6 linked regions of the Canis lupus familiaris genome follow. The protein of the gene in region 1 purifies or fractionates together with the protein of each later gene. This does not show direct contact. Links are inferred from orthologs where the notes say so. Each region holds a gene or a part of one and is shown on either strand. Other genes may lie near its edges.

Region 1 (3,500 bases):
TTCCTGAGGGTGGCGGCAGTCCGAGCCCCCGTGTGCTTTCCGAAGGGCGGCGCCATAGCAGGGTGCTGGACCGCGCGTGTCGGGCTTCTGCTGCTCCCCTGGAATGGGGAGAAGTTCCGGGGCTCCACAGGCACGCGGCATCCCCGCCCAGGGGCGCTGCTGTGGTGGCCGTGACATCTGCACGGGGCTGGGGCCCTGGCTCTTCTGTGGTCGGGGTCGGCTTCCTGCCGTCCCTGCGGGGCCTGAGGACACTGCTGGGCTGAGAGCAAGCGCGAGCCCGCCCTCTGGGGCCTGCCTGAGAGGCTGGGCCCGTCCCTATTGGGAGAAACAAGACTTGGGCTCTCACCTTGCGGCCACTGCCGCCTCGGGGTGGCCAGCGTTGACCGTGGGTCCTCTGAATGTGTTTGGGTGGAACGGGGTGATACCTGTGTGTGTTTGGGGACCTCTGGGGAACCTTGCTGCCTTCCAGATTTCATGCCCCTCCACCTTAGTCTGGGAGACCGCCTCCTGGGCGCCCCGTCTCCCTCCCTTAATGGCAATGTCATTGGTTTGGTGCTCTGGCTCCCAAGCGCGTGTGACCGTGCTGTCTCATTGGAGCTGCACGCTGCCTGTTGTGACCTTTCCGCTGTAGTAGAGGTGAAGAGAGAGGCTCAGGGTTTACCTATATCCCCCGATTGTCGAGTGGTGGTGCTGAGTACCCCCAGACGGGGCTCAGAAAGGACGGCCACCCTGTGGCCTCCACATAAGGTGGTGACAGCGACTAACAGGAAATCTCCTGGGCTCCCAGTTCCAGTTTACAAACCCCTCAGACCCAGTGGGCCCAGGTTAGGACTGGAGCCAGAGGGCATAGGGACACGTAGGCCATACTGTGACCAGATACGTGCCAGATCTGCGAGCTGGGCACATGGGGGCAGCTAAGCTCTCTGGGCTGTGCCACCCTGAGTAGATAGAGGGGAGGTAAGAGTCTGAAGTCACTAAGGGGCAGGCACAAGGCTCCCGGAGTTCCTGGGGGGTCCAAAGGGAATTGGCTGTGGGGTTGTGAGGAGGAGGTAAATTCTTCCGGAGAGGAAAGGGGGGATCCTCCGAGCCATGGAACCCTGGCAGTGGCTGCCTGGGGACGTGATGCGCTCCCGGTGTTGAGCATCAGACTGCCATTGAGGGATCCTGCTCTAGGAGCCTGCAGCAAGTGGCCTTTGCCTACCCTCAGGATCTGGGGAAATGGGATAGGGAGAGAAAACCAGTGTGTTCTCCAGAAGATGCCTCTGCCCTGGGACCTGTGAGCCTTCTCTTAGGCACCAGGGCCAGCCTTCCAGAGGCCTCAGGGGGCCACGTCCTTATGAGCCAGAGCTGTCTCACTCTAGTTCCCCATGGGCTTCTGAAACCGGGGTGTCCCTTACGGATAGCTGTCGTCCCCTGCTCTGCTGGCATTCTGCGGTGGCCTGCCGGGCGGGGCTGGGGCTGGGACGCCCGGAGCAGGAATTCTTAAAAGTCCTCACTAGACACTGAAGAGGCCTCCTGGCGCTCTGTGGTCTCGGGTAAATGCTGTGGCTGGTTGGTAGGCAGGCTGGGGTGGGGGCTGGAGTGTAGCAAAGGGCCCCGGGGACTTGCGGTGAGAGGACCCTGCTGCTGGCACCCTTACCCTCTGGCCAAGGCTTCATCCCATCCTGGAACCCCCACTCCAGGGGGAGCTGTTTGCCCAGCCATGGAGAGGCACTTAGGAAGGTCAAGGGGTGCCGCAAGGAGGTTGTGGCTGGGGTGGCCTGGCCAGGTCAGGGTGACTGGCCTACATACAGGCTGGGTCACCGAGCGGGCTAGGCCTCTACTCCACTCTCGCTCTCCTCTGGGAGCCCGAGGTGGCTGCCATCGGATAAGCCCAGGCTGGCAGGGACTAACAGACGCCAGGGGACCTTGCTGCTGGGAGAGCGAGGTGTGGCGTTGCCTGCGGGCAGGCCGGGTGTCGGGTGTCTGCGCTCTTCTGAGCGGGTCCTGTTCCTGGAGTCCCGTCCCGAAAGCTGTGAAAGCTGTTTGCCAGCAGTTGCCGGATTGGGGTGGAGGGTGGGGGGAGGGGCTAGGGACCTTCTCGTGAGAACCCCTGCTTCCTTCCCGGCTCCCAGAGGGAAGTCTCAGGTTGCCCTGAAGATCATCCGCAACGTGGGCAAGTACCGGGAGGCCGCCCGGCTAGAAATCAACGTTCTCAAAAAAATCAAGGAGAAGGACAAAGAGAACAAATTGTGAGTGTCAGGAGGGAACAAGGGGGAAGCTTCCAGTGGGGATGGCGTCCTCAGCCCCGTGGCCTGGACCCCCCCAGCTGTGTCCTCTCCCTACCCATGGAGCCGGGGCAGCTGGGCCAGCGAGTCCTGCTGGTGGAGCTTGGGGTTGCCATCCAGGTCCCCCCATCCATCCTGTGCACTGAGGCAGGCCTCCCAGGCCCGCTTCCATAAATAGGGGCCCGTGGGTCACGGCAGGGGTCAGGCAAGATGCGCCCCCAAACTGTTGGGCCCCCACATGGTCAGAGAGCTCCAAAGGAGAGCCAAGAGCCGCTCTGGCACACGCACGCTGGGTAGTCCCTTTCCTGCAGACTCGGGAAGCTCAGGGGGGCTGGAGAAGGGATGCGCCATTCCATCTCTTCCTGAGGTGCGGGGATGGTGGCTGGGGCAGGACAGCTCGAGTCAGACCCCCCCGCCCATAGCTGCCCCAGGGGCAGCGACCAGCTTGAGCGAGGGCCGGGGAGCCAGCGCCACCGAGGCTGAGCCCCGCGCACCATTCTCCTCCAGCCTGTGTGTCTTGATGTCGGACTGGTTCAACTTCCACGGTCACATGTGCATCGCCTTCGAGCTCCTGGGCAAGAACACCTTCGAGTTCCTGAAGGAGAACAACTTCCAGCCTTACCCCCTGCCGCACGTCCGCCACATGGCCTACCAGCTCTGCCACGCCCTCAGATGTAAGCGTCCACGCTCCACGCGCCAGCCACGTGCGCCCGCCAGCCGACCTGCGGGGCCCCGAGGGCTGAAAGGCCTTCGGGTAGGACTCTGGGGTAGGGGGCTCCTGAGCCCTCCCATGCCCTGGGCTCTCAGGCAGAAGGGGGCGCAGCTCCAGAACCAGCCCAGCCACTAGGCCCCGCTCATGCCTGTGGAGGATGGAAAGGCCGCGGCCCGACTCGTAGGCCCCACGCACACCACGCTGCAGGACGTGGTGGTCGGCACGGGCCGGGCTCCTGCACAGGTGGAGGGCGGGCCTCAGAGCTAGGCTGCACGGGGTCGGCTCAGGCAGAGGGCACAGGACGCACACCCGAGCTGGCCGAGGGGACCTGGCACGTGATGTCGGGGAGGAGACAGGAGCACGAAGTGGCAGGTGCCACCACTGGTGGGGCGGGGGCTGGAGGAAAGAGGTGGATGTCTCCCCCGGGCTGAGGGATGAGGAGCAGCTCCAGGGCTGGCCCTGGGGTGGTTGCTGGAGTGTTCTGTCTCTGTCATCTTGATACTTAGTGACTTTTTCCCAAT
Region 2 (4,167 bases), on another chromosome or scaffold:
AAGAGGTACGGTCTCTGCCTCCTATTAGGAAAATAGATAACGGCATTGTCCTGAAAGTCGGGAGATCTGGGTCTGGAAACTGTGTGGGCTTGGACAAGCAATGCCGCGCTCCGGTTGTCAATCTGCCCATCAGGCAGCTGATCTCTGAGGTCTCGAACTGTATGAGGCTAAGTGACGGAGGAAGGTGGAGAAGCCTGGGACAACAGAGCTTGACTTCTGTTTGACTCTAGCCTAACACTAGAGCTTCGGCCGACGGGAGGAGGCAGCAAGAATCACAGAGTAGAACCCCCGAGCCCAGCGCCGGGGCCGCCGGCTTCCTCGGGCCGACGTCACTGGGGCGCGACGGCGCTGTCCGTCCTGTCCTCGAGGCGGCAGCGGTTCAGAAGGTCCCTGTGATGAGGGCGAGCGCCGAGCTAACAGAATGTCCAACAGTCCTGGAGTCTCTCTAATGCTCAGTTTTAAGCAAACCACCCTCGGCTGCTCTCCCTCCTACTTCGCCCTTACCCGGCATTGGATGCCGGCTGCTAGGAGTCCGGTCTCGGACGTCCAGGGCTGGACCCCAGCGCGGCTGCGCAGGGCACGTGCGCCTCTCCGGAGTCCCGGCGATTGGCTGTGATGTAACTTCCGGCGTGAGCGGCGAAAGCCGGGAGGGCGAGCGAGAGAGTGAGCAGGCAGCAGGCAGCAGGCGGGCGGGCGGACGGCTCGGAGGGAGGGAGCGAGCGAGCAGTGAGTGAGCCAGCGAGGGCGGTCGCGTCCCTAGAACAGCCGAGATTCTTCCCGTCCCTCTGACCCCCTCCCCGGAGCCCACAGCGCCTCTGGTCTCCAGTGGAGCGGACACGGCCCGGCCCGGCCATGGCCTCGTTGCTGAAGGTGGATCAGGAAGTGAAGCTCAAGGTAGCGGCACCGGTCTGGGCCTCCTTACCCCCCGCTTCGATTCCCGAGCAGTCTGACCGGCTCCCCACTCCCCATGGCGTCTTTGTCTCCCTGGGGACACCAGCTCTGAGCTTCCGCTCAGCTCAGCCCAGCCCCCCACTCCCGGAGACGGCATCAGGGGAGAGGATAATATGGGGTGGCCTTGTGAACCGCATCTGGTGGTGGAGATCCCCGAGGAGACCTCCGCGGACACGTGGTGGACTCAACACTTTAGGCCAGTGACAGCTGGAAGTCCCCAGTCCAGCAACGTCCCCGCCTCCGGATGCTACCGCTGTTCTACCCCTACCCTTGGCGTCAGGCCTCCCTGGTATCAAAGGCTAGGTCTGGATGGGGGCTTGGCACGTTTGTGAGCTCACATGCCCCCTGTCTACCTGACTTTCGTTTGCTCTCAAATCCAGACAGCTTCAGACACAAGGAGGGAGGGTGGGAGGGAAAGCAGGCGGGTGCTACCCTCAAACCCCACTTCCCTCTCCTGAGATGGAGAAATGGATCCTCAAAAAAATAAAGTATTTACAGTCTGGGGGTCTCTCAGCTTCTCATTACAATTACAAGGTGAGGGGAGTACGGCTGGATTTGGGTTTTCCCGTCCTGCCCTTAACCTCTGTTGCCAGGTACTGACTTGCTGTTACTGAATTGCTCTCTTTGTTAATTTTAGGTTGATTCTTTCAGGGAGCGGATCACAAGTGAGGTGAGTGCAATAAAAAAAATAAAATAAAATAAAATAAATAAGCGTTGGTTGATAGTTGGGAATTTCCCAAAGAAGAGATCTGTAGAGAGAGACCTTCCCACAATTATTAATTGAGCTGTATTTTCCTTCATTTTTAGGCAGAAGACTTGGTGGCAAATTTCTTCCCAAAGAAGTTGTTAGAACTTGATAGCTTTTTGAAGGTGAGAGACTCTTTTCTTCAAATTCCCGTTTTTTTGGCTCTGGTCTTTCTGTCAAATGGGAGAAATCATGTGTTGATTCTATTTTGTTTTGTACAGTAAAATGCTCTCATTTCTTGCCCTTCAAATAAAATACTTCTTTGTTCATTTTGAAAAGACTGATGTTGTTTTGGGGGTGGGCGTCTCTCTTTCAGGAACCAATCCTAAACATCCATGACCTAACTCAGATCCACTCAGACATGAATCTCCCAGTCCCTGATCCTATTCTTCTCACCAATAGCCACGATGGACTGGACGGTGTGAGTGTCCTGTATTTTTCTTTGTATTCTGAAGCAATAGTTCTCTAGTCTCTGTTCTTTACTTCCTAGTCAATTTAAACACATACGGAGGAGACAGTGGATTAGGATCTAGGAACAAGGGCTCTTATAGACCTGATGATTCCAGTATACCACTTTGAGACCCTGGTTTTCATTTATAGCATGAAGTGTGTAATGTAATGTTACTTTGTCCTACAGTGAGTTCCTAATAGGACTAGTAGCTACAGGTTTCCTCAAGTTATCTGGTCTGTCCCTGTGGCTCTAAACAAGATATTTCTTACCTTTTTCAATGTCTTGAGTATTGTTAGAGGATGAGTAGTGCTTGCTATATAACTGTAGTCTCTGTCTATGTGACATATATTTAGAACCCCGTGCTTGCCAGTTACATGTCCACATTTCATAATAACAGTGTTAACACTGTATTGTCTGAATTACTGTGTCCTTGATAGAGCTTGCAATTCTGGAAAACAGAAACTATTAATCATCTTTGTATCCCTAGCACCTAGCACTGTACTTGGTACATAGTAGGTGCTAAGTACATGTTTGTTGATTGAATATTGTACTTCTTTGTGGAAGTTGAAGATTTGTACATATTCCCTTTAGTATACTCACTGTGCTTTGAATGGTTCATTTTTCCTGTTGCTTATAGTATCCACCCCTCTCCCCCAGTTGCTTAATGTGTCATTTGAAGGCTGGTCTTCCCAACTAGATTGTAACTTGCTTTGTGGCAAGAATCTTTTTTAAAGTCTTATATGTGCTTAGTAAATTGTGCATAAATGAAAACAGCCTATGGGGCCAAAGAGATTAGACTTGCTTGAAGGGTAACTTGTGATGGGAATATGGGTGTCAAGAGCAGACTAATTCCTATCTCTGTATCCTTAGCCCACTTACAAGAAGCGAAGGTTGGATGAATGTGAAGAGGCCTTCCAAGGTAAGAGCCAGTCTCCCCCGCCCACCTACTCCCTGGCTTGCAACCCTGAGCAGGAGGATTGATCTGGCAGTCTCTGATCAGAAAACAAGACCGAATTTTATTTTCCAGCGTTAACATTCCAAAGTTCTACAAACATGGTTATTATTTAGCACCCCAAACCTAATTTCCCAATAAATAGGGAGCGGTTGACTTAGTGTGGACTGTCAAGGGGGAGAGGTTTGAGGTGGCTACACATCTTAGATTTTCCACAGAAGTTCTAGTTATTTTCTCTTTTTCAGTAATAGTTGGTGCATTAAATCTTTAGAGCATATTTTAATTTCCTATTCTTTCCTTATTCAGATTTTGGCACTTTTTTTTTTTTTAAGGATTTTATTTATTCATGAGAGAGAGAGAGGCAGAGAGGCAGAGACATAGACAGAGGGAGAAGCAGGCTCCGTGCAGGGAGCCCGATGCAGGACTCAATCCCGGGACCCTAGGATCATACCCTGGGCCAAAGGCAGGCGCTAAACCGCTGAGCCACCCAAGGATCCCTTGACTTCGGCACTTTAGACACTCATTTTAGATAAAAAGCAGAGATCATAGCATCTCATGGGTCTGGGAAACAAGGAAGGTGGGGGTATTATGTCCTGTCCCCCAATCCCTCAATCATTTGACCTTCTTCATGTCCCTGCCAGGAACCAAGGTGTTCGTGATGCCCAATGGGATGCTAAAAAGCAACCAGCAGCTAGTGGACATTATTGAGAAAGTGAAACCTGAGATCCGGCTGCTGATTGAGAAATGCAACACGGTGAGGCAGGGGCTAGTGACTTAAGGGCTGACCCCAAAAAGCCTGGCTTGAATTATGAAAAATATTGGTTGTGGGGCAGGAGGCATGGAGGTGATAGAGGAGTTGGCACATTAAGTATCTTGGCTACCATGTTCCTGGCATCTGATCCCAGCAGCAAGGATTGTATATTTCATGGCTTCAGCAGAAAAAGCGAGGGTCTTCATATATGTGTGTGTGTGTGTGTGTGTGTGTGTGTTTCTATATATATATATATGTCTATATATATCCATATATATGTATATATATTGGTCCTCTCACCCTTCAGGTCAAAATGT
Region 3 (3,500 bases), on another chromosome or scaffold:
TAAAGAGGAAGCCAAGGTAACCCTTTCTAAGTTCTGAAGCTTTATGGTGTGTATTTGATTCAATGAGTGATTTTTTTTTTTCTCTTCAAAGCAACTAGATTTAGATGTAGCATTTTTCCAAAATTCTGTTCTTAAGTTTGAGTCAGAAGTTAGAATATACAGTCAAGTCCTTCCATTTGTAAATATCATGTCTTAGTAAATTGAAATGTCATTCAAGAAGTATAAAGGCCAAACAATTGTGTAATGATTATACCTTCAAAGATTCAGATGTGTGTGTGGTTGCCATGAACTTGCTTGAAGCATCTTTTCTTTTTTCGTTTCAATTCCATTCAGTACAATTACTAATTGAGAAGAATGTAATTATAATTGTCTGATACAGCAATAATAGGAGGAACCTGGCTACCGAAAAGTACAAGAGTCAACGTTTAAATCACTATGGGATTCTGTATCCCACCATATGCAACCTAAACCCCATGGCAGTTATGTTATTTCTGATCATTGCTTATAAAAGTTACATTTTTTAAAAAATCCAAACAAAGTTGCACTACACTTTACTTTGGAAAAAATATACATCACAAAAACAGTTTGCAAAGAGAAACTGGTTTTTTATTTATTCATGAGAGACACAGAGAGAGGCAGAGACATGCAGAGGGAGAAGCAGGCTCCTCACAGGGAGCCCAATGTGGGATTTGATCCTGGGATCACACCATGAGCTGAATGAAGGCAGATGCTGAGCCACCCAGGCATCCTTAGAAACAGTGGTTTTAGTCTGACTTTCCCTTTTATCTCTTTTATCAACCCACCATATTTACAGTAGTGTCTTTTTCTGTGGAATGGTGTATTTACTGGAGTAATCAAGTGTAGCTGAAACATCAGCTTTTCATAGTAGGACTAGCTTACTTTTATAAAATCAACTGTGTAGATGAGTATTATTTTAAGATAATTTTTTGATAAGATTATGTTAATGCAGAAGAGGGATCTAAGAAACTATTATTTCTGAAACAGAACTATCTTTGGACAAGTTTTAATCTCGGTGTATCTCAGCTTCCCAGTTGAGAAAGTAGAAATAGTACCTGGCTGTAGTGTTAGTTGAGATTAATAAATTAAGGGCATTGAGAGCAGCATCTGACACTTTCAAAGCGCTTTGAACTGTTGGCTCTTAATATTATTATCCTTCTCAATATTATACCTGCAAGATGATTTTAATAATGGTTTAAAGATAAAGTTTGCCATTATTTAACTTTTTTTTCCTTCTTTTCAGATGACCTGTGTAGAAAAAGCAGGAACAGATGAGAAAATGCTTATGAAGGTCTTTCGCTGTTTGGGAAGTTGGTTTAACTTAGGAGTTTTGGACAGTAACTTCATGGCTAACAATAAGTTACTAGCACTCCTTTTTGAGGTTTTGGTAAGTAATGGGTTTGTTTATGAAAGTATTTTTACCACATAGTCACAGTAGTAACTAACCTTCTGGAACATAGCAGTGTTTTCAGATTTCTGTACAGTGATTAGAGGATGTATAATAAGAAAGCAGTGTCTCTCTCTTGCTTGTTACCAAGTACCAAAGGTATTGAAGGGGGCAGCCCAGGTGGCTCAGTGGTTTAGCGCTGCCTTCAGCCCAGGGTGTGATCTTGGAGACCCGGGATCAAGTCCCACTTCACACTCCCTGAATGGAGCCTGCTTCTCCTTCTGCCTGTGTCTCTGCCTCTCTCTCTGTGTGTCTCTCATGAATAAATAAATAAAATCTTAAAAAAAAAAAAAAGTATTGAAGGTATTAGTATTAATACTCAGAACAGAATGTAGTTAGGTTTAATAGGAAAGCAGTTTTACATGTAGATCAGTGGTTTACATATTAAACTCCAAGTAACAAAAAACCATTGGTCTCTTTTTTTCTTGTTTTGTCCCCTTTTCCTGGATGATGTCCTTCCATAAAATCATATTAGTTTGGAAGCTCTGTGTGTACTGGTTGTGTGCTAGTGCACTATTATTTAGAAGGTGGTAGGGGCACCTCGGTGGTTCAGTCAGTAAAGCATTTGCCTTCAGCTTGAATCATTATCCTGGAGTCCTGAGAATGAGTCCTATGTCGGGCTCCCTGCTAAGTGGGGAATCTGCCACTTCCTCTCCCTCTTCCTGTGCTGTTCCCTGCTCTTTCTCTCTCTCAGTCAGTCAAATAAATAAATAAAATCTTAAAAAAAGAAGATGATAGCATGATAATAGATTGATACCACTGTGAATTAAAGGAAAGGAAAGCACATTCTTCAAAAAGACATTTTTGGTATTCTATTGTTAGTGTATTTATGCTGTGTTTTTTCAGGAGCAGGAGCTAAGACGCAGGAAAGTTAGGATGCTGCTAATAATTATTTTGCTAGTCACTGTCTTTGTCTCCATTTCTATTGATGCCCTACCTCAGTAATGGTAATTTTGATTCTCATCTTACTAAATTGTATAAAGAGTAGTCAGTATAAATAAATTAAAATCCTACTTTTGTTTAAAAGTTTATGAATATGAGGGACACCTGGGTGGTGAGGTCAGTTGAGTGGCCAACTCTTGGATTTAGCTCAGGTCATGATCTCAAGGTCATGAGATTGGAGCCCTTTGTTGGGCTCCCTGCTCAGTGGGGTATCTACTTGAGATTCTCTCTCTCTCTCCCTCTGCCCCTCTTACTCATGCACACTCTCTCAAATCTTTTAAAAAAATTTATGAGTATAATTGATTACATATGAAGGGAGGGCAGTTTAGAATACACATCAAACACAAGACCTTGGTTACTTCTGGGAATTAAGACTGGGGTAAGGAGCAAGCTAAGTAGTGTGCCAGGATTATATTCTTCACTGATCCAGTGTGTCAAGACCCCTTTGCTATTTAAAAGAAGGATAATTTTAGAGTCAGTGTCAAATATATTCTCATTCTTACATTCATTCAGTGGTTCAGAATCATGCCATTAGTTTGGTTTATGTGCAGACCACAACTTTATTATAATGGTGTAATAAACTGTAATAAACTTTTCTCCCACAGTTCTTTTTTTTAAGCTTTTACAAATATAATGCTGGAGATATGTATATATATATATACACACACACACAAAATATATATACACAAAAGAATAAATTTGAGTGTTTAACTTTTAAATCATATAATAACAATAAATATTTTTGAATTTACCTCTCAACCTAAGAATAACCTAATGAATAATTTGCATCTATCTTGTGTGTTCTCCCAACCCTCACTCTATTGCTCCTTCCCCACCCTGGAGATTCTAAATGTCCTTGTTTTTTATTATTCACAAAAGACTAATATGCTTTCACTAAATTTACCCATCCTCTCAACTGTACTCTTCTAAAAAGAAGCCCTAGAGGAACCTTCTGATCTGCTCTAATTTGTACCAATTACTCTTTAGATCTTCTCCTCAGCTGTTGTTCTGGAACTTCTCTTTACTATGCTTTTGGATTGGATTGTGTTTTGAACGTTTTTAGACACCTTCCTTAGAAAGATATGTGGGAAGT
Region 4 (4,183 bases), on another chromosome or scaffold:
AGCCCTTGATCAAGAGTCGCATGCTCTATGGAGTGAGCCAGCCAGGAACCCCCTACCTCCAGCTTCCAAAATGTTGACACCTCTTGCCTACTGTTGTACCTTCTTCAGGTCTCTTTGTCCATGTCTTTCTCATTCTTTAACTGTCATTTTAGTAGGGTTAGGTGAGGGAGAAGAGGTAAACCTGTCCAGTGTATCCATGTGATTCAACCTGCCATTTACCCTCAACTCTCTTTACAATGTTTTCAGTCTGTGTTCTGCCTCTACTTAGTTCTTTTCACTGCTTAAAATTGTATTCTGCTTAGACTAGGGGTTGGGTGAGGCAGAGAGTAACAAAGGAATATGAGATACACATCCTTCTTCCAAAAATGTACATTCCACTGGACTCTTTCAGGGGAGGGTAAGGGCTATTTTCCATTTTATGATTTCTGTCAACTACTCTTTTCAAAAGCAGGCAAGTCCTCATACCCCTCCCACGTGTTTTATGTATTTTGGCCAAGGGAGCTGGGTGGGGACCTCAGGAAAACCATAGGATGGAAAAATCTGAATCATAATCCACAGTCATTCCTGGGCAGGGGCAGTTGAGATTACCAAACTCGATTTCCTTATTTTATAAAAAGGAAACTGAAACCCAGAGAGCTTTAGTTGATTTGGATCACCTTTGGTCTCCTGAAAAATCTTTACTCTCATATCTCTTAGAAATGACAACTCTTAGCAGTCAAGGGGCCTGTGGGTCTAACGTTCCCTTTGCTCCAAGGCTGCAAGGGTAGGGGGTGGGGGTGGGGGGCTTGCCGCCTGCTGTTCCTCAAAGGCCAAAGGTCATCTCAGAGGTCTCATCACCGCACTGTTTTATTTTTTTGTAGCCCTCGTTAACATTTAAAATTACGCGATTATTTTTACTATGTATCTGATTTTCCCCCACTGGAATGTAAGCCCTATGACCGAAGGGGTCTTTCCCCGTCTCGTTTGCCATTTAATCCCCAGGGCAAACTGGGATTCGAAAAGGAAGCAGTCCCGCTCCAAAATCCGCGCTTCCAACCCGGACATTACATTGGTATTTAGTGAATAAGGCAGACGATGGGCTTCTGCACACCCAGGGAAACAAGAGGGCGAGAAAATAGATCGTAGCCGGGGAAAGCAGCAGGTGGAAAACACCCGGACCCCGGCGTATTGTGCCCCGTGACCTTTCTCTCCGGAAGCGCTTGCAGCTCCCCGGCACGAGTGCGCACGCGCGGCCACCGGGGTCGCTCTGGGCCGCGAGCGGAGAGGGGACTTAAGGAAAGGTTCCGCCTCCAGGGCCTAAAGGCGCCTGCGCCGGCGGGGCTCCTTTTTGGACGCGCTTTCTCGCTTCCTCCCTCCCTCGCCTGCGCGCGCTGGGTGGGCGTGGGAGGAGGCGGGGAACTGGGGAGGGGAGCGAGGGGGCGGGTGTCGCGGGAGGGAAGGAGCGAACCGGAGAGCGTCGTCCTGAGAGGAGTGAAGGCGGCAAAATGGCGGACCGCTTCTCCCGCTTCAACGAGGATCGAGACTTTCAGGTAAACACGGGCGTCGCCGAGAATCCGGGAAGGCGCTCGCAGAGCCGGGACCACCTCCTCCCCCGCTCCTAGCGCTTTTCCTTCCCAGCTCGGCTCCGGCTTACGAACCGGCTTGCTCTTCTCCCGCCTCCCAGTTCCTCAAGGGGCCTCCCAGCTTGAGGCGAGGCCGCATCCCCTCTCAGCTCGTATTCTCTTACCTGTGAAACTCCGGCCCCCGGGTTTGCGGCTTCGGCTTTGCTGGGGCGGGTTTCGGAAGCCTGGCCGGGCCGCAGACTCGGGACTGCGCTCCGCTCGGGTCCGCCGGGCCTGTGGAGGCGCCGGGCGGGCTCCCGGGGGAGAAGAGGGATGGGTCGGGAGGGCTTCGGGCTGGTGTTGCTGAGACCAGGGCTTCCGAGCCCCCCGGGTTTTGCTCGCAAGGCTCTTTTTCGGGTCGTCCTTCGTCTATCCTCAGTACGATAAGTCCCTTTCATTGTCTATTTCCTCACATGGGAAAAGGATGCTTGAGTTATCAGACGCCTTCTTGGTTGGTCGAACATTGAGATTTCCCTAGGCGTAAATGTTGCTGTTGTCATGAGGCCGTTCATCTTGCTTGGAAAAGAGTAAGTTAGAGGACTGTTGTCGATGGAAGCTTAGCCCCAAATCCTACCTCGAAAGATTTTTAACAAGTGTAATGATCATGGACTAACCTTTGAAGTGCGATAATTAGCGCCAGAAGCTCCCTTTTTCTTTCTTTAGTTGCAAACGCTGTATGGAAAAGTGTCCTTGTGATGGCAGGCATTACCGAGGAGCAAATAAAGGCTAAATTACAATAACTCGTCTTCCCGTTTAAGATACCTTCCTGTTGAGCATGGTTACTGCAGAAATCTCGGCGACTAAGAGGGATTTAGTAGAGGCTGGCTGATTCTAGAGTAAAATGCATCCTCAGAGTCTCAAACCACTGCATTACTACCGCATATCCTGGCAACAGCAATTTGGGTCAGGGGATGAACATCACAACTCAAGTTTTTATCCCGCTGCAGATCTTCCTCTCAGTCACACGGGATACTCTGGATATGTTTCAGAAGGCTGTTTGAAGGAGTTAAATTTTTCCGAGATGGGGTTGGTAAATAAACACGTAAAGAAAGCAGTTAAACAACAACAGTTCAGTGCGTAGAACGCTCCTCACAGAGAAGTTTTGCAGCAGTAAGGCATCTGGGGGCTGTTGAAAAAAGCCTTGTGATCTGCGCCTGCTGTATAGCTGCAGCCCAGTACAGAATCTCACGGCGGCTTAAGAGTATAATGCAGGTGCAGGGAAGTTGAAGTAGTTCTCTATAGCCATTTGCTCCCTGAGAGATTGTTTTTGTTTTTTCTTTTCTTTTTAGCGAGCATCCTAAAACGTGAGTAGGCTACAAGATGTGTGGGCTTTATTGGTAATCTTTAAAGAGACATGTTAACTAAAATCCTCAAGTGTTTTTCAGAGGAGAGAATTTCAAGGTGACCTAATAGAATTGAAAATAAATAATATGGACAATTAAGTTTTGAGGGAAAATGTCTGTCAACCACAGAATTTCAGCAGACTTAAACAGAATTTGCAAGGCCTTGAAAAAATTTGAAAACTGGTTGGCAGATTATGAATGCTGTCACCTGAAAAAAATTGAGAAAGCCTCTGCCTTTTCAAGTAAGATGATTTTCTCTTCTGATGCTTTAGTTGGGCTTATATGAAATCTGGTTGGTAGTCCTTTGAAGATAGTAGGTATATTTTACATTTATTTCCTGCTTGTATGTTGGAATAACCGACGCCAGTATTGGGTGAGCCAGGAATATGGTTTTCTAAAATTCAGCTGTCTTAATATTATGGGTAAAATAGGGTATTTGGAAAGAAAGCTTTTTAGACAATTATAAGATGTTAAAGTTTTTGTAAATTATCGATTAACATTTCTAAACATCCATTTATAAATAAAGTAGTCAACTACAATAAATTTAAAAATTAAAAATACTTAACATATTTTTTTTCTGGATGTTTTAGTAAAAGGATAAAGGTTGATTTTCATTAATGATGTCCTTCAATTTAAAGTTATTGGAGAGGAAATGTAATATCATGTTCCTGCATATAGTATATCTGGAACATTTTAAGGTTGGTTTATTAAAATTAAATGTGGCCTCCTTTTAAGGTTTTAAGTGATAAATGAGGTTGAAGCCATTGAATACACTTGAAAACAAATCCAGAGTAGATTTCCAAACAGTGCATGGATCCTGTTGCTTTAAAAGATCTTCTTACAGCACTAGAAATTCTTCTGTGCATTTTCTCTGGTAAGTTCTAGATGACTTCATTTTCTTTGCCTTGAATTTGGCAAGATGATTTGTAATTATAAAATTTCACTCTTTGCCAACTTACCATCACTTGCAAATTTTGGAGAGTTTGTGGTATCTTGAACTTAGTATTGAGTCAGAGGTGGATTCACTTATTTGTGAACACCTGAAGTTTTAAAGGTGTTTTGTGTAATATAGTGAGCATGCTATTGTGGCATGCTACCTATACCTATATTAATTGTGGCATGCTACCTGAAACACTTAGGAATATAAGGAGTAATCATTATTAGGGCAATAATTTAGCTTTATTTTAATAATAAACAGGTACCATTCTACAGGCTTTATGTGTATTGTAGTCTTCACAA
Region 5 (3,500 bases), on another chromosome or scaffold:
ACCTCATATAGTTATTGAGATTATATAAAGCATTTAGCAGAGTGCCTCATCTGTAGTCATGTCTTTTATTACTATAAAAGTAATAAAATTACATTGTGGAGCTGAATCAAGACTAGATTGTATCCTTAAAGCATCTACTTAAAGTAACTCTTCATGTCTTCCCATTTTTCCCAGTCTAGAGCCCCTAACAACTAACCTTCTACTCTCTGTTTTTGTGAGGTCAGCTTTTTTAGATTCCACATATAAATGAGATCATACAGGATTTTCTGTCACTTAGCGTAATACTCTCAAGGTCCATTCATGTTGTCACGATGGCAAGATTTTATTCTTTTTTTATGGCTGGATTAACATTTCACTGTGTATATAATATACATACTACATTTTCTTCATCCATTCGTTTCTCTGTGGACACTTAGGTTATTTCCATAGCTTAGCTATTGTACATAATGTTGCAATGAACATAGGAGGTACATATGTCTTCGTGAGCTAGTGTTTTCGTTTTCCTCAGAGAAATACCCAGAAGTGGAATTGCTGGATTGTATGGTAGTCCTGTTTTTAATTTTTTGAGGAATGGTCACACTGTTTTCCACAGTGGCTTCACTAACTTACATTCCCACCAACAGTGCACGAGTATTCTCTTTTCTCCAAAACCTCACTAATACTTGTTATTTCTTGTCTTTTTAATCTTAGCCATTCTAACAGATGAGGTAGTATCTTGTGGGTTTGACTTGCATTTCTCGATTGTTTTCATTATTTCTTTTTCAGATATATCCCTGTTATGAGTGTGTAGAAAAACAGCTGATTTCTGTGTGTTGATTCTGTATCCTCCTGCTTTACTGAATTCATTAATGATTAGTTCTAACAGGTTTTTGGTGGAGCTGTGATAATGATTCTTTTCCTTTAAAGAATATCTGGACTTTTGAACTAGAAAATTGTAGAATATAAGCTTACAGTGTTTATGTGGTGATATGAGGGTGGGGCTGGGAGGATACATCTTAAGGAATTTAGGAGTGAATAACTGAATTCTTTATATAAAAATTCAGACTCTTCCCTAAAATGACGATTCTTGGACATTAGCTACCATCCTCTGTTATCTAATAAAAATGATTAATTTGGCATAGGTGATTGACAGAATAAATTATGCCACCACATGCTTGGATTTGATATTCTTTTCCCAGAACTGACCAACTGCATTAGTAGTCTGCTCTGCCAAGAACAAAATAAATATACTGGATTTTATGACAGCTAGCTATTTTTCAGCCTGGAGCTTTTTTGGCATTTGCTTTACTAGAAAACAAGCTATTCAGTATCATATCAAACTATACAGTGATACTGTTTTTTTCACAGTAAATATTCCTCACATAATAAAAAGTATAACCTGTTATACCAGGAAATTGAGCTTTTTGAAATTAAACCAAACTAGTGGAATCTAGTCAAAAGGTAAAGTTTTTAGCAAAGGGTGGAAGTAAATAAAATCTCACCTTTGTAAGTTTGCTTTCAACTCCTTTTTGAATGTTTTTTTTTTTAATTTTTTTTTTAATTTTTTATTTATTTACTATAGTCACACACAGATTGAGAGAGAGAGAGAGAGAGATAGGCAGAGACACAGGCAGAGAGAGAAGCAGGCTCCATGCACCGGGAGCCTGATGTGGGATTCGATCCCGGGTCTCCAGGATCGCGCCCTGAGCCAAAGGCAGGCGCCAAACCACTGCGCCACCCAGGGATCCCCCTTTTTGAATGTTTTTGAAAGTCTAATCTTTTTGGTCTAATTCAGTTTGTATATGAACTAGCTCTGTGTTTTGAGAGATTTTAGTGTCAAAGCATGAGTCAGGATCTCTTGGGTTATATTATTTTTAAATTTTTTTAATTAAAATTAAATTAAAATTAAAAAATTAAAATTTTTGTTAAAAAATTAAAAAAATTTTTAAAAAATTAAAAAATTAAATTAAATTTAAAAAATTTTTTGTTATTATTTTTTTTTAAGATTTTATTTATCCATTCATGAGAAACACTGAGACAGAGAGAGAGGCAGAGACACAGGCAGAGGGAGAAGCAGGCTCCATGCAGGGAGCCCCATGTGGGACTCGATCTCTGGTCTCCAGGTTCACACCCTGGGCTGAAGGTGGCGCTAAACTGCTGAGCCACCCAGGCTGCCCTCTGGGGTTATATTATTATGTTATTTTGAGGGAATAGTGTGATTGGCAGTAAAATTAAATATAGCATTAAAGATTGAGAGTAGCATAGGACGATTTTCTAACAGTGAGGGTTATTAAGAGAACTAGCGGGGAGGCCTTTAGGAAGGACAGGTAATTATTAGTAAATCTGTAGGTAAAGTGGAATGGATTGTGCATCTCTGATCAGAATAAAATCAGCTCCTTTTTCTTGATGTTTGTCTTTTCTAGATTGTCAAAAGAGTGGGGAATAGTGAGGAAACACCAATGATTGGAGACAAAGTTTATGTCCATTACAAAGGGAAATTGTCAAATGGAAAGAAGTTTGATTCCAGTCATGATCGAAATGAACCATTTGTCTTTAGTCTTGGCAAAGGTAAGAGGGTATTTTTGGAGTTGTGTTTTGCTTGGATTTATTGCCATTTATATTACATAGGAGCTAGTGGATCAGAGGAGCTGGTGGATTTTTAGGAGGTCCATAATGTCAAGACTGTTTTTATAATAAAACTAAGATGTTGTTTATCTGTTTACAGTGTTGGCAGTAAAGTCTACTGAAGGTGCACAAGCTGCAGTGGTAAAGGCTGCTGGTGCCCTGGTGCAATTCTAGGCGGTGGCACCAGCCTATGCTAGCAATCGTATATGCTTCGCTGCCTTTATGCACTGTGTAAATAAGGATCAGAAAGGAAGCCAGTTTCACTTGGTGTCCTCGACAAAGCATAAAAAATACTGATTTTATTAAATCCTGATCTTTGAGTTTCACATTGTTTTGCTGTTTTATGACAGATGGGGAAGCACACATGGAGCACTTTTGCATACCCGAGTGTACTGGTTATCTCACGAAGTACCTGTGCACTTAACTTGAGTGCATTTTTTTTATAATAATCATTTTTCTTTAAAAGGGCAAACTGTCGTTGTTTAGACTTGATTATATAGTATTTGGCAGATACTTTCTTAATAATGAATGAAATGGGGCAGCCCCGGTGGCTCAGCGGTTTAGTGCCGCCTTCAGCCCAGGGTGTGATCCTGGAGATGTGGGTTCGAGTCCCACATCGGGCTCCCTGCGTGGAGCCTACTTCTCCCTCTGCCTGTGTCTCTGCCTCTCTCTCTGTGTGTCTCTCATTAATTAATAAATAAATACAATTTTAAAAAAATGAATGAAGTGAGCCTGTCACTTCAAGGAAGACAACTGACAGTATGTCTTACCATTGAGTTTTCAAATAAAAATTACAGTTTTGGGAAATTTGTATCTGCCACTGGGAGCCTGACAACTTCCTCAAACTTAAAAGACTTCTGATGAGATCCGTGGATATCAACGAATGTGATTTTTAA
Region 6 (4,268 bases), on another chromosome or scaffold:
TTCCCATAATTTTTGTAATAATTGACAGACGGACTTAAACTCACGAGTAGAAACAGACTGTTGTAAATGCATTTTAGGAACACACAACAATTTGTTATTCTCTTGCCAAAACATACTGTAGAGTTGTTGTGTTTCCCTATTCACTATAGAATAATAAACTTTTACACACAATGCTATGCTTTTTATTTCCTCTTGATTCTTGGCCAATTCACTAAGGGAAAAGTCATTTTGTTGACAAATCAGAAAAAGTCCACACAGAGTATGCTGGAACACTTCCTAATTAATAACTTAAAAATAATCATGGAGTACAGAAATAATGAAGGGTTTGTGAAAACAGCAAAAGCAGGACAGAGGCATTAAGCAGTAGGTCAGGACAGCATGTATCCTGGGAAATCAGGAGTTCATAAAATCACCAGTTTGTTTTTTTTTTTTCTTTACGACCCATGGAATACAAAATTAGAAAAACAGGAAATGCAAGCCAGCTTTTTGTAAAGAAAGAAACCCAAAGAACAAAAACAATCACCGAAAAACCAAACTTGAAAAATCACAAATCACCCAACATTTGGACAATCAGCTCTAGCAAATGCCAGTAACCAAACGTTAGGAACATGTCATACATGGACACAAGTATCATAACCTCATAGGGGGAGCTACAAAGCAAGATGTCATTCCAGGAAATGCAAATTATATATATGGTGAGAAATTAAAGAGAACCACTGTGGAAGAGAAATTTAAGATCAATTGGTAATGTGCCTCATAATCCGTCGTTTGAAGTCACCATAGAACACAGAAAGGCATAATAGTCACGGGAAAAAAAATAAAAAGGTCTCATCTACAAAATCACAACTGAGGAGAAGGACGATATTCACTACATGTAGATACCCAAAGGTCACGAATACACACACACACACACACACACACACACACACACAAGGGAAAAGGGAGGGGGGGGCGGTGGTGGTTCATAATTCTGAGATCAAATTTCAGCCGTCAGAGAAAAACTTTCTGGAGGAAAAGATCATATTATAGGGCTACCTCCTGCCAGCACCATCAGAAGTTCAAAGTCAATTAAAAGTCTGGGAGCAAAAAACCGGAAACCCCTGCCCTCCCATCTGAAGCAGGGGTTTAGATCCTGGTGTGACCTAGAAAGGCCCGAACCTGGAGGTTCCCAGTACAACATGGCTCCCAGCACCATAGGTGATCAGCAACTGTATTAATGCTAATCCCCTACACCTACATACTGCTTTACAGTTCAGGAAGTGCCTTCACGTCCATTCCTCACCCCCTGTGGTGGCAGAGTCGCAGTCCTCCGCTTTCACACGGCTTGTAGCTCGTCAGGTCTCTCCACACACCGTGCCGTTTTACAGAAGGGGCGCAAGAGACCAATCTGCTCTCCTAAGATCCCGCCCGCGGCAGGCGAGGGGCCTGGGCCACTGTGGGGCTCGACCGAGTCACTAACACGCACAAGACACTTCCAACCTCGGAAAGTTCAAAGTACAGCACTCCAGGGGGAGCAGCCCCATTCGGACGGCTCCGCAGACTGCAACTGCACCGGCTCGGCGAACCCTCTCCGAGAGCCTCGCTCTGCCTCCTCCGAGACAGGGACGCCGAGGCGCCAGGTAGGAACCGAAGCCTGTCTAGAGGCACCCGAGGGTGCCGCTGCGACGGGACGGACCCGCGTCCCCACCGCCCTGCCCTTGCCGCTGCCCCCTCCCCATTCCCCGCCCGGCTTTCCGGAACCGCTCAGCCACCGCCTCGTCCCAGGGCCCTTCCCCTTCTTCACATCGGGCCTCCCGAGTAAGAGAATCCGCTCGCTCTGGCCCCGCTCCCGGTCCCTCTCCCCGCGGGGCCCCTCCACCCCAAGGCATTTCTGCGTCTCCCGGGCAAGGTCCGACTCCCGTCCGTGCCGCCCCAACCTTAAACTCCACAAAAGAAACCCCTCCCCAAGCCTCCTCCGGCTACCCCTTCCGTCCAGGACGCTCCTGAGGAGCACCCCTAGTATCCGGAGCCTCCCCAGAGCTACCTGCCTCTCACCTGGGCCCCTTTAGCCGCGGCCTCCTCGGAAGGGCGACCCTCAACAGCCTCCGCCTCCGGCCACGAGCCCCCTGGAGGGGGAACACCCTCTTCCAGGTGCCTCCTCAGACGCCCTCGGCGCGGCCTCAGTGGAGGACCTCGGGCTGTTTCCTGGGCTCTGCCCAACGCCACTCCCTCCCGGGCCCTCACAGAACCTGCCCTGGCCCCCGTCGGGTCTCCCCAGCGCAGACTCGGGCGGCTGTTCCCCTCCCTCACCGACGTCCCCAGCCCTCGGACTGCCCCCCGCTCCGCGTCCCCACTGGTTTCCCAGAGCAGCGCGGCCGGGCTGTGGCACTGACTTCTCCAGCTCCCGGGCCCACCCGAGGGAGGGGGCGGCGGCGGCAGCGGCGCGACTCCTTTGTGACAGGTCCGAGAGAGCGGTAAAGATGGACGCGAGGCCACGGCGCTGCCATTACGCGCTGGGCCCACCCCCGCTTCGCACCGCCCCTGCCCTCCCTCGGTCCCCTAGGAAACGCCCCTTCCTCGGTGGCAAGCCCTCTCCCTGGAAGCCAATCGTCTCTCAGGAACGGTGCCACGTGATCACACGCTCCGGCCCGCCCCCCAAGCGCGAACTGGCCAATCCTCTTGCTGAAGTGGGAATGGCCCAATCAAGTCTCTCCGCCTAGCCTTCGGGACACCGGATTTCCATCTGTCCCCTGGGAAGAAAGAGAGGTGCGGATTGGGTTACGCCGCCGGAAGCGGGGCGGAACTTTGTTGTGGCGGTGAGGAAGAGGAAGCCCTGAAGGGTCAAAAGGAATACAAAAGCAAAGGCTGTTTTCTTTCTTTTCTTTTTTCCTTCTTTCTTTTTCTCCCCCCCCCCCCCCCAAAGAACGAGTGGCCTTAGCGGTGGCGGTTTGGGGTGGGCGCCGCCGAGGTGAGGGGGTCTCGCCTCCCGCACGCTGGTAGGTGAGTGCGGCCTGGGCCCTGGTCTGGCGGAGAGACCCGGGCTCCAGCTTCTTCCCTGAGGACACGGGGGGCTACGACTGGTGTGAGGTATAGGGCCAGGCCCGCCCTCAGTCTGCGCCCTCGCCCAGTCTTCTGAGTCACTGGGGTCAGGGGCTTGCTGGGGCCCAGCCAGGGGGCAGCCGAGGGAGCCTGCGGTAGGGCATCCCAAGCGGGATGTGGGGCAGCATCCCGACCCCTTCCAGCGGTCTCGGGACTTCGGGCCTCTTCCTGGCTCTCTTCCACCGTTTCTGCTAAGTGGGGCCACCCCCCAGGCTCCAGGTGCGGGCCGGGCTCCTCAGGAAATGTGGGAGTCCCTGGATGGAAATGGTTGAATCCCAGAACGCAAGTGTAGGATGGGAAACGCATTTCTTATGTACCATGTACCGTTTGCTGTGCTCAGTGCAATTTCTTCTAATAGATAACAAACCAGCGTGCTCGTTTTGGAAAAAACAAAAATAAAACCCCAAAAAACAAAACCCAAAACCAACCCTCCCCCCCCCCCAAAAAAAAAAACCAACAAAATAAACAGCTTAGGAAACTAAGACCATGGGTGGAATGATCTTGTTTGAAAGTTGCCCACGTGAATGTCTGTGCACACAGGTGTGAAGGTGGAGACCTACTAAGAGCAGTGGTTCTTAGCCTAGTAGAAAATACGATCTTCTGACGTCCATTTAAATACAGATTCTCTGACCCTACCCCCCAGATAATCTGACTGAGTAGGTCTGGAGTTGGGACCCAGGGAAGCCAGCGCGTTTGCGCCTGGTGGTCAGAAATTCCAGTGACCTGTTGTGTATCAGCTGTGAAGTAAGAGCTGTTCATCTTCAGCTGTTTGGCTTATTGATGAGTTAACAGGGACCCCATAAAATGGTTTGGAGGGCACTGCTTCTGAAGTCCTTGAAAGGAATTAGTGTTTATACTCCTTTTTGATACAAGGAATTGAGCTGAGATAAAGGCAGCTTTCACAGTCTTTCAACTAGAGCATGAGAGGAGCTGTTAGCAATTTCTAGGAGTCTGAAAGCAGAGGCTGGCCACTTATTTTTCTCAGCTGACGTGTTGGTGCCTTAATCCCTTACAACCAGGAAGAACAACGTCAAGACCATTTACGTGGTTAGCAGCCTTTCCTTTCACCTTCTAAGAGTCTTGATGTTTGGTTAGAGTTAAGCTGCTACCTCATACTGAAAACTGCATTGCTGGTAAGTGAGGTTATTGAAGTGTGTGGTTCCACCAGAGGCTCAATCATACTGTAATTA

Evidence for each region.
Region 2: the proteins of CLK3 (region 1) and PSME3 purify together in Homo sapiens (affinity purification with mass spectrometry; 5 studies listed by BioGRID and IntAct, counting the BioPlex papers as one, with this or other methods). This does not show direct contact. The link is inferred for Canis lupus familiaris from reciprocal best matches to the Homo sapiens genes CLK3 and PSME3.
Region 3: the proteins of CLK3 (region 1) and TNPO3 purify together in Homo sapiens (affinity purification with mass spectrometry; 4 studies listed by BioGRID and IntAct, counting the BioPlex papers as one, with this or other methods). This does not show direct contact. The link is inferred for Canis lupus familiaris from reciprocal best matches to the Homo sapiens genes CLK3 and TNPO3.
Region 4: the proteins of CLK3 (region 1) and GPATCH8 purify together in Homo sapiens (affinity purification with mass spectrometry; 3 studies listed by BioGRID and IntAct, counting the BioPlex papers as one, with this or other methods). This does not show direct contact. The link is inferred for Canis lupus familiaris from reciprocal best matches to the Homo sapiens genes CLK3 and GPATCH8.
Region 5: the proteins of CLK3 (region 1) and FKBP5 purify together in Homo sapiens (affinity purification with mass spectrometry; 3 studies listed by BioGRID and IntAct, counting the BioPlex papers as one, with this or other methods). This does not show direct contact. The link is inferred for Canis lupus familiaris from reciprocal best matches to the Homo sapiens genes CLK3 and FKBP5.
Region 6: the proteins of CLK3 (region 1) and PSME3IP1 purify together in Homo sapiens (affinity purification with mass spectrometry; 3 studies listed by BioGRID and IntAct, counting the BioPlex papers as one, with this or other methods). This does not show direct contact. The link is inferred for Canis lupus familiaris from reciprocal best matches to the Homo sapiens genes CLK3 and PSME3IP1.

The regions. Positions count from the first base shown.
Region 1 is NC_049251.1:38,152,476-38,155,975, forward strand, and holds part of CLK3 (dual specificity protein kinase CLK3), read left to right. Parts: intron 1-2,114; coding exon 2,115-2,231; intron 2,232-2,774; coding exon 2,775-2,941; intron 2,942-3,500. UniProt on the Homo sapiens protein: Dual specificity kinase acting on both serine/threonine and tyrosine-containing substrates. Phosphorylates serine- and arginine-rich (SR) proteins of the spliceosomal complex.
Region 2 is NC_049230.1:20,062,001-20,066,167, reverse strand, and holds the start of PSME3 (proteasome activator complex subunit 3), read left to right. Parts: upstream 1-1,367; 5' UTR 1,368-1,410; coding exon 1,411-1,485; intron 1,486-1,588; coding exon 1,589-1,621; intron 1,622-1,758; coding exon 1,759-1,821; intron 1,822-2,012; coding exon 2,013-2,117; intron 2,118-3,017; coding exon 3,018-3,066; intron 3,067-3,740; coding exon 3,741-3,853; intron 3,854-4,157; coding exon 4,158-4,167. UniProt on the Homo sapiens protein: Subunit of the 11S REG-gamma (also called PA28-gamma) proteasome regulator, a doughnut-shaped homoheptamer which associates with the proteasome. 11S REG-gamma activates the trypsin-like catalytic subunit of the proteasome but inhibits the chymotrypsin-like and postglutamyl-preferring (PGPH) subunits.
Region 3 is NC_049235.1:7,535,117-7,538,616, forward strand, and holds part of TNPO3 (transportin-3), read left to right. Parts: intron 1-1,261; coding exon 1,262-1,405; intron 1,406-3,500. UniProt on the Homo sapiens protein: Importin, which transports target proteins into the nucleus. Specifically mediates the nuclear import of splicing factor serine/arginine (SR) proteins, such as RBM4, SFRS1 and SFRS2, by recognizing phosphorylated SR domains.
Region 4 is NC_049230.1:18,801,860-18,806,042, forward strand, and holds the start of GPATCH8 (G patch domain-containing protein 8), read left to right. Parts: upstream 1-1,383; 5' UTR 1,384-1,484; coding exon 1,485-1,529; intron 1,530-4,183.
Region 5 is NC_049233.1:4,958,967-4,962,466, reverse strand, and holds part of FKBP5 (peptidyl-prolyl cis-trans isomerase FKBP5), read left to right. Parts: intron 1-2,402; coding exon 2,403-2,547; intron 2,548-3,500. UniProt on the Homo sapiens protein: Immunophilin protein with PPIase and co-chaperone activities. Component of unligated steroid receptors heterocomplexes through interaction with heat-shock protein 90 (HSP90).
Region 6 is NC_049223.1:58,454,849-58,459,116, forward strand, and holds the start of PSME3IP1 (PSME3-interacting protein), read left to right. Parts: upstream 1-1,468; 5' UTR 1,469-1,619; intron 1,620-2,034; exon of another isoform or gene 2,035-2,272; intron 2,273-2,289; exon of another isoform or gene 2,290-2,310; intron 2,311-2,372; exon of another isoform or gene 2,373-2,795; intron 2,796-2,801; exon of another isoform or gene 2,802-2,979; intron 2,980-4,091; exon of another isoform or gene 4,092-4,211; intron 4,212-4,268. UniProt on the Homo sapiens protein: Promotes the association of the proteasome activator complex subunit PSME3 with the 20S proteasome and regulates its activity.